Linked DNA regions of Drosophila melanogaster. The gene in region 2 interacts genetically with the main gene of each other region. Each region holds a gene or a part of one and is shown on either strand. Other genes may lie near its edges. The genes, in order: trk and Fur1.

Evidence for each region.
Region 1: of Fur1 (region 2) and trk, changing one enhances a phenotype caused by changing the other (phenotypic enhancement), as found in Drosophila melanogaster (one study listed by BioGRID).

The regions. Positions count from the first base shown.
Region 1 is NT_033779.5:10,270,654-10,274,209, reverse strand, and holds trk (trunk), read left to right. Parts: upstream 1-1,885; 5' UTR 1,886-2,000; coding exon 2,001-2,708; 3' UTR 2,709-2,753; downstream 2,754-3,556. Other genes in the region: Utx histone demethylase, read left to right, coding at 1-45, 105-244, 328-747, 804-1,013, 1,088-1,214, 1,304-1,498; Mulk (Multi-substrate lipid kinase), read right to left, coding at 2,754-3,556.
Region 2 is NT_033777.3:25,470,055-25,475,354, reverse strand, and holds the start of Fur1 (furin 1), read left to right. Parts: upstream 1-2,296; 5' UTR 2,297-2,873; intron 2,874-5,300. Other genes in the region: Vps33B (vacuolar protein sorting 33B), read right to left, coding at 1-1,186, 1,251-1,569, 1,627-1,727, 1,783-1,839. UniProt on the Drosophila melanogaster protein: Furin is likely to represent the ubiquitous endoprotease activity within constitutive secretory pathways and capable of cleavage at the RX(K/R)R consensus motif.

The DNA.
Region 1 (3,556 bases), on a different chromosome or scaffold from region 2:
AAATATGCCCAATATCAGGCATCCAGTTTTCAAGACAGCTTGAAGGTAATGTTCGTTGGGTTGGTTCCTCTTTAACATGAATACAAGTTTACTTTATCGTGTAGCTTATTTTACCGCAGGATGAAAGCGATAAAGGTTTCCCCGGCTCGCAAGCAATGTCGGATTCAGACTCAAAGGACTCGGTATCCAATTCGAACATTGTTCTCAAACGTAAAAAACACAAAATAAACAGCAAAATGTTGAGGTAATAGAAACTCCAAACCATTTATGTCTGCATTACGAACTTTATGAACATAAATTAAATGCTTATTTCGCTTTTTTTTTTAGGTTCGGGACCAACGTGGACCTCTCCGATGAAAAGAAATGGAAACCACAATTAACAGAGCTACAAAAACTGCCAGCTTTTGCGCGAGTTATATCCGCTGCCAATATGCTATCACACGTGGGCCACGTCATTTTGGGCATGAACACCGTTCAGCTGTACATGAAGGTGCCCGGAAGTAGGACGCCTGGCCACCAAGAGAACAACAACTTCTGCTCAATCAACATCAACATCGGTCCTGGCGACTGTGAATGGTTTGCCGTCCCTGACGCCTACTGGGGCGGAGTTCACAATCTTTGCGAGAAGAACAACATTAGCTATCTGCACGGCTCGTGGTGGCCCGTCCTGGAGGATTTATACAAGGAGAATATACCAGTTTATAGATTTATACAAAAGCCCGGTGACTTGGTTTGGGTGAATGCCGGGTAAGCACTGAATATGAAAGGAAGGATGATGTATTAACAATCAAACCTACTTTCAGATGCGTCCATTGGGTTCAGTCGATCGGTTGGTGCAACAACATTGCGTGGAATGTTGGACCCTTGACTGCCCGTCAGTATTCTCTTGCCATCGAGCGATATGAGTGGAATAAAGTGCAGGCCTTCAAGAGCATTGTGCCGATGGTGCATTTAAGCTGGAATCTTGCAAGGAATATTAAAGTGTCTGATACCAAACTTTTCGAGCTGATAAAGTGAGTTAGCAAATGATAGGAATCACCATTATGCAGATACTATAGGGCATACATATGTAATTTGTAATTTTCAGAATGTGTTTGCTGCAAACGTTGAAAAACGTATTGCACATACAAGAGTATGTCAAATCGAAAGGTGTGGAAATACGTTTCAATGGACGCGGAAAGAACGAAGCATCCCATTACTGCGGACAATGCGAGGTATTTAGCGTAGTATTATTAACATATTTATACAGTTTCCAAAGGTGATATGAATGCAGTTTATTTAATCATTTGTGCACTCTTTGCAGGTTGAGGTTTTCAATGTGCTGTTCATCAAGGAGCAGGAGAAACGACATGTGGTCCACTGCCTATCGTGCGCGCTGAAGCTATCTCCGTCGCTCCAGGGAATCGTTTGCCTGGAGGAGTATCGTCTGTCTGAGCTGCAGCGCGTGTACGATTCGTTTACTTTACACAGAACCCAAGGACTAGCATACACTCAGTAGTTGTAATACGAGGAATCATTTTAAGTAATGCAGATTTAATATATGTATATTTTACAACGTACAATATACTCTCTATTGTTTTGATAAAACATAACGGTACGAATATATAGAGATGGGATTTTTCGAATAAAGCCATCAGAGCAGTTTTTTCGGCTATTATGTTTGATAGTCGAAAAAACTGGAGCCCACTTGAGTAGCGAAACTTACCTTATGATGACAATTTTATTATGACTTCAAATATTTAGACCCATCTTTTATAGTTTAATTTAAAAAAAAAAACTTTAAATTTATCCAAAGTTTAGAATGCGTTTTAATTATATATATGAATAAATTTAATTTATAATCTTTCGCAATGACACTGAAATTAAAATCCTTCTTTTTATTGAATTGGCTGTTATTACTTTAGTACCTAAATAAGTTACAGTGTAGAGAGCAACGATAACTGCTGTAAACACGATAAATCAATTGGTTGATATTGGTGTAGCCCTGTTTTTAGCCAGCCATGTTTCTGCGTATACTGTGTCCAACTATGAAATCCCAAAGTGAACTGGCCATTGTGCTCACTTGGTTGGCAGTGCTGGGGACGGCTCAAGATGATGCCGATTACTGCGCCGAGCTATCCACGCAGTCGCTGGCCAAAATTCTGGGACAGGCATTTAATCCGCGCTACATGAGCATCGATCCGCCGGGCGAGCCCGAGGAGAAGAGCTATCATCTGGGATACAAGCGATCGTCGTACGAGCTGCCCTTCTATGCGGACAGTGATGCGATTTCGGTTAGCCACTTTCCCGCCTGGGAGACCAACCACTTTGCGCTGGTAGAGAAGAAGAAGGAGGCACCGAGGAGCAAGAGTCTGCGCACGAGAAGCGCCTTCATGGATCGTGTGGGACATCCGAGAATCGATGGGTTCAAGCAGCGGCCGTGGGAGTGCTCGTCGAAGATCAACTGGATTGACTTAGGCTTAAATTACTTTCCACGCTATATCCGTTCGATCGAGTGTATTGCCAGAAAATGTTGGTATGATCACTTTAATTGCAAGCCAAAATCATTTACAATAAAAGTACTGCGCCGTAAAACTGGCTCATGCATTCGAATAAACGATAAATTGATTTTGATCACCGCAGAGAAGTTTGAGAATGATTATACGCAGCTCTGGATTTGGGAAGAAATAGCGGTTAACTTTTGCTGTGAATGTGTTATGCTATACTAGTAGCGCCATTTAATCAAGATTTAATTAATATACACGTTTAAAATGTCAACAAAAAACTTTAATAGCATTGGGAACAACAGATACCTTAATGGGTCTTGCATCGTACTCCTCGCCATCGATGGAGTAAAACTTCTCGCCCATTTCACCATCCGGATGCAGTTGAATAGTCCTGCTCTTAACCACCAAGCTGGGTAAAATTTTGCTGCACGTGACTTCCGGAATTTGTTTGATAAACTCCCAGCCCGGCTGCAGGGAGCTTATAAACTGACTTTCCAGCTCCGCAAAGTTATCCTTGTTCTGAACACAATTGATGTTAATCTGGCTGGCTTCAGCGCTTCCCTCGAACTTCTTGCTGCAATTGTCGTTCTTGACGAGCGGCCTCTTGGTTTCACCCGGATTATTCTTGTACTTAATGAGGCCTCTGGTGAAGAGGCCAGAAGGCTGGGCGGTCTCCTGGCGCTGCACAGTAGCAGCACAGTCAACGCAGCCAGGACACGGCGGTGTGTACACATAGTCGGTCTTAAGGCTCCAGTTATCGGCAAAGGACTTGGACGCAGCGGAAGCGTAGTGTCGCAGTGGTCCAAAGTACCAGTACTTATCCTTTGCCGCATCGATGTCCTCCAGCAGACCCCAGGACAGACCATTAAGACCGAATATGGGCTTCAATTGGCTATTGCTGCCATCTTCTTCATTGATCACATCAAAGCGGATCACACTCTGGTACTGGCTCTCATCCTTGAGCATAGGTTCAAGGGCTTTCGAAAGACTTTTCACATAGTCGACGTCCTTGACGCCAAAGATGTTGATGCGCTTGGATGCGGACTGCACCGAACGTCCCAGCGGAAGGA
Region 2 (5,300 bases):
CAATCATGCCCAGCTTCGAGGACAACTCCTCAGCACTATTGATTTTCAGCAAAATGGAGCAGAGCTGAGCCACCAATGGTATGTAGGTGCCATTGAACACAAAACTGGGACAGGTCTGCAAGCCACTGGATTGGCTCTTGGAGGAGGAACCTCCATCCTGACCATCTCCACTGGAGGTCAACAGCTTTAGCCGATTAGCATTGGCCTGAAACTCCGTTTGCTGGAACTTGGGCAGAGGTAGATTTGAGAGCAGTTTCGTTGGCGCCTTTTTCTCCACCACAAGTGGTGGCAACAAGCCCGCCTGCGACAACTGCTGGAACACGCCCAATTCCTGGTGTCCAAACAGATTGCAGTAGTTCCGCGCAAATATCTGCAGCTCCTCGGGCGCCACGCCAACGCAATGATGCAAGAGGCACAGCAGTCGCAGTGTATTAAATCTCTGACCATCTGTGGTCAACAGCTCGTCGATCTCGCTTAGCAATCGCTTTCTTGAATCATTGTTTAGTATGTCCTCCTCCAGCGTTTGGAGCTTCCTGAAGTTACCCATCATTTGGATCACAATCTCGCTGGCATTCAGATGCCTAAGGACTTTGCTCTTAAGCTCGGTTAGTTTGGGTAGCTTCCTGGCCACATAGTCATGCATCTCGTCCAGCTGCATGTCATTGAGTTTCTGCAGTTCCAAGCCCAGGGCTTTTACTTGTGCGTGAATCAAACTGCTGACCTGAGCAAATCGTTTGTACCGATTATCGCCGTAGATCTCATCGGATGTGGAGTTAAGACGAATGGAACACGGCTTGCTGGCTGAGTTTACGCCTATCTTGGATTTCTTTCCCTGGAGTAACTCCACACGCTGGCTGCGGATCTTGTTCTTGGAATTGTCTACCAGAATCTCGCCAGAACTATGCTCGAAAACTTCCAAGAGAAGACCTGCATAGATGGCCGGAGTGAGCAAGCTGGCGGGGTAATCCTTATCCCGATCGATGACCAGCCAGCCGCCATAGTCTGGAGGATTTGTGGGCGCCGGAAGTTTGCCAAGAGTCTTCGCCATTTGCATTAGCTGCGACGAGTGGTGGCCAAAGCTCAGAATCAAAGACGGTTGTCCGCAAATCATCTGAAGCAATCGCAGGCTCTGGGCCACCGCAGGCAATGGAGATGTGTTCTTCTGCAGGTAGAGACACTCGTAAAGCTGAATAATAAGAATATCCAGTATAAAAGACTCTTTTCTGAATGTTCAATGTACATCTACTCACATTGGGCAGCTCCAAGCTGAGAACTCCCTGATCAAAATAGATGAAGTCCCAGTTAAAGTGATGAAGTTGCACCAGTCCGTACAAACCAGCCTGTTCCAGCAGGGTTTGAAAATAGGAGTAACAACTGGGCACACAGACTATGTGATACATTTTCATGGAGATGTCGGGCATTTCCTCTGAGGCCACGGGTTGCAATTGCTTGAGAAGTGTCTGAAATGTACCCAAAACACTGCGGATCATGTAGATGTGCACCTGATCGGCGGATCGGGGCAAAGATTGTGCCGCATCATGTTTGTAGATCCGTTGTATGCCCTTCAACCTGTTAAGGGGTATATATAAGACGTAAATATCCATAAAATATGGATTAAACACCTACTTCAGCCAGGAGGCAGTGACAACATGTTCCAGTGGCTTTATCAAGTCGGGCTCCAAAATTAACTCCTTCTTTCCAGGTATGCTACATAGTATGGAACAAAGCTGCAGTCGAATTGCAGGTAGTTAATAGTTTCACTCTTCCGATTCATTATTATACCTTTTCTTGTGCCACCAACTGGAATCCCTGCAGCTTTTTGTCCAGCGTCAAATCCATTCTTCGCCGCACAACACAAACAGCTGATGCAGCAAGGTAGCAAAATGTAAGGTGACGCACGCAAAATAAAATAGGGTTGTCACAAAGCAAATATATGCAGTTTTTATTACGTAAATGTTTATCGCAGTCAAAAAAGCAGTATTACTAGTTATTCTATACAATACATTAAACAAAAGCTATACTCAAATTAATTATTTTGAACTTATGCTACTACTGACGTCACAAAGTGTTGAGTCACCATTAAAAGCATTAATTGTGCACAGTCTTAATTCCTGCCGATCCAAAACTTATTTTCAAAGTTCGAGCTATCCGGTTTGTTAAACAAAAGTACTTAATCTACTGCTCAGTTTGATTGCATACCACTGTGCGAAGGCTGTTCGCTCACGAACTATCGAACCGGTTCGCCATGCGTTCCCATCTTTAGACGGGTATTTAAGCGCGATTCGCTGCAAAAGTGGCAGTTTCGTTCCAAATTCCGAAGCGAGAGTTTGTCGTGGGAAGTTGTTGCGCGCGCCCTGTTCGCATTTATGTGTTTTTATCGTGATTCCGTCAACCGAAATCATATGTTTTTAGCCAGGAGAGAGACGATTGCCAAAACAGCAGCAAAACGGGCGGAGTTCTGCGGTGGAAAATCGAAAATTAGCAAGCGCACGGAACACACTGTGATTGGAGCGAATTAAATGTGAATCAAAATATGGTTAGCCATTCGAAAAGCGTGTAATAAAATCGTGAAGAAAAACCAGAAAACAAATTTGTTATCGCTCTCTGTCTCTTTCTCTCTCCCATTCTCGCTGCGATTTGCTCTCCGTGTGTTTATGTCTCAGCTGTCCAAGTGTGTGTGCGGGTGTGTGTGACGTATGTGCGTGCAAGTGTTTGTGATTTTATGTTGTTGTCTTGCCTGCTTTCGCGTGAAATTCAACAACAACAACAACAGCAGCGGCAGCAACAACAAGCAAAGCAACAGCCAACAACAAATTTAAATTGAGATTTTCCATATTATCAAAAGTTACAGGCGCCTATTTTGCAGTTATCAGGTGAGCTTGCACTTACATTGTTTATAAATAATTTGGGTTTGGCGCATGTGGGTGAAACTGTGCAAAAATATGTGAAATATTTAATCTAATGACAAAAATAGCCGTGCGGTCTGGTTTGTTGTTGTTATTTTGGGCAATTGCAGCTTGTTGCATGTTCTCGTCTTCTCTTTTGTGCCGCAGATTCGTCTCTTTTTTACCGCTCTCTCCTTCTCACTCTGTCCTGCTTGCAGTTGTACATTGTTGCCTTTGTCAATCATTATCTTTGTGTTTTCGCTTCGTTCTGTTTTTGTTTTAGTGGCTAACATTATTTTCTTATAGTCCGTGTGTGTGTCTTCTTCGCGTTTTCTTTGCGGTTCAATTGTTGTTGCGATACCGGTTTGAGCAGCTGTCTCGCTCGGGCACGCTGCACAGGTTGCTGTTTAGATTACTTTTAATTTTTCTATTCTTTGCGCTCCCGTGCCTTCTAATCGCATCTTCTTCTTCGTGCTCATCTTTCTAATGCCCGTTTCTTATTGTTGTTGTTCTTGTTGCCCCTCCCAATTATGCTTTATTTGTTTGTATTTCCCTCTCTCCCATTAAAAATAAGTTTTTGCCATGGGTTTTATAATTTATTGGCCTTTCGATTTATTTAAAAGTTTAATTTTTGCCCAGACTGTTCAACTTTTGCTAATTGCCTACAAGTTTTAAAAGGTTTTTAAGTAGTTTAGCTTAGAACAGGTTTTGCAACAGTATGTTTTGTTAGGAGAGTCACGTTAGAATGTTTCAACTATATATGATTTTTTTTAATATTTATTGTTTTATAATTGAAAGCATAAATAATGTAAAATTTGCGTTCATATTATTTTTCTTTTTATAATTGTAGGTTTGCTCTCGAAAGTGCGAGAAATTTTAAACATGAATCATCATTTCAGAACTAAACAAATCTTAAGAGATTTGTTTGTATTGCATAAAATACAAACAATTTGATTTTCTTGTGCTGAAATTAGTATTACTGCTTAGTTTCACCATTATATACTAGATATAGAAAAAATCATTAGGATCCGCTTTAGGAATAAATCTAAAAGCAAGTTAATTATCTTTACTTGAAATGAATTTTTATTCCGACTAATGCGACATTTTATTATTACTCATAAGAGTGGTTAATCGTTAGTTGGATTAAAGAAGATGTGGATTCCCGTTAATGGGAAATTCCGCTGAGTTTATCGAGGCCATCGGCGTTTCTCAATTCGATTTCCAGTCCGAGATGCGCTCTTCACTCGCTTAATAAAAACAATAATAAGCTGAAAGCAAAGCAAATCGAAATAATTCATTTGCATTTACATAGGTAAATAAACAACACCATCACCCGAAGGTGATTCCAATCCCAATTCCAATCGCACCCCCATAAATTCTCTTGCCAAAGTTCGGCACTAATTAAAACCTGAAACAAATTACACATCTACGGGAGAAGAAAACGAAACAAGAACTCGTGCAAACAGCAATGATTTTGAAAAAGAAAGCAGAAAGCATTTTTGCAACGTGCGTTGCTATTCGTTACCCCCCACCCCCTCCAAAAAATTTACCCAATCCCCAAAAAGATTCTCGTTTTGGTTCGCTGTGTGGAGGAGGCGTGTGAATTTTCGTCGGTTTGATGTCTGTTTTTGCTCTGCTCATTTCCACGCTCACACATCAAACCCAATTAGTATTGTTCTTCTGTTGGCATATGGCAAATATTTCCATTTGTCTGTTTGTACACATATAAATTGCTTTGTATTAGCTTCGTTTCACTCTCTTTTTCGATCTCTGGTGTTTGGCGTAAGTCTGTTTAAAAATGTAATTATTCCCATACTTGGCGGGTTCTATTTTTGGGCAGCATTTTCGGTACATTTTGACACATGTGTGTGTTGGAAAAATGCGATTGAAGTTTATTCTTACGTTTTTTGAACATTTGCCAATACTGCGTCGCTTTTTAGCTGATTTGTGTGCTAGTTTGGTAACGAATTCATTTTACATGATTAGGTATTTTTAATTTGTATATTTCTTTTACAATATTTTTAGACCCAAAAAGTGAGTACATATATGCATGTACATTTAAAGAAAAGTGAGTGCTTTATTTTAGCACACTCATCAAAAAACCGCAAACAATCGCGGCAATTCGCACTCATGCGTTTCTTTACGTTAGGGTGACTCACTCGACTCACTCGAAGACAAGACAAGTAACAAAGAATTGTTCATTCTACGGCATTCTTCGCTCTTCGGCTTTCATCATTTCTTTGGGACGGACGCACTGAGCCATGTTTGTTTTTCTTGCGCCGAACCAGAATGGCGAAAGTGAACCCAACTCGAGTTGGGAGACACAATGGATATATGTTGGGGATGTAGAATCTGGGATGGATGACTTGCTCTGACGTACAGATAGTGTTTGTGTGTGTGGTTTGCCTGCCTTGA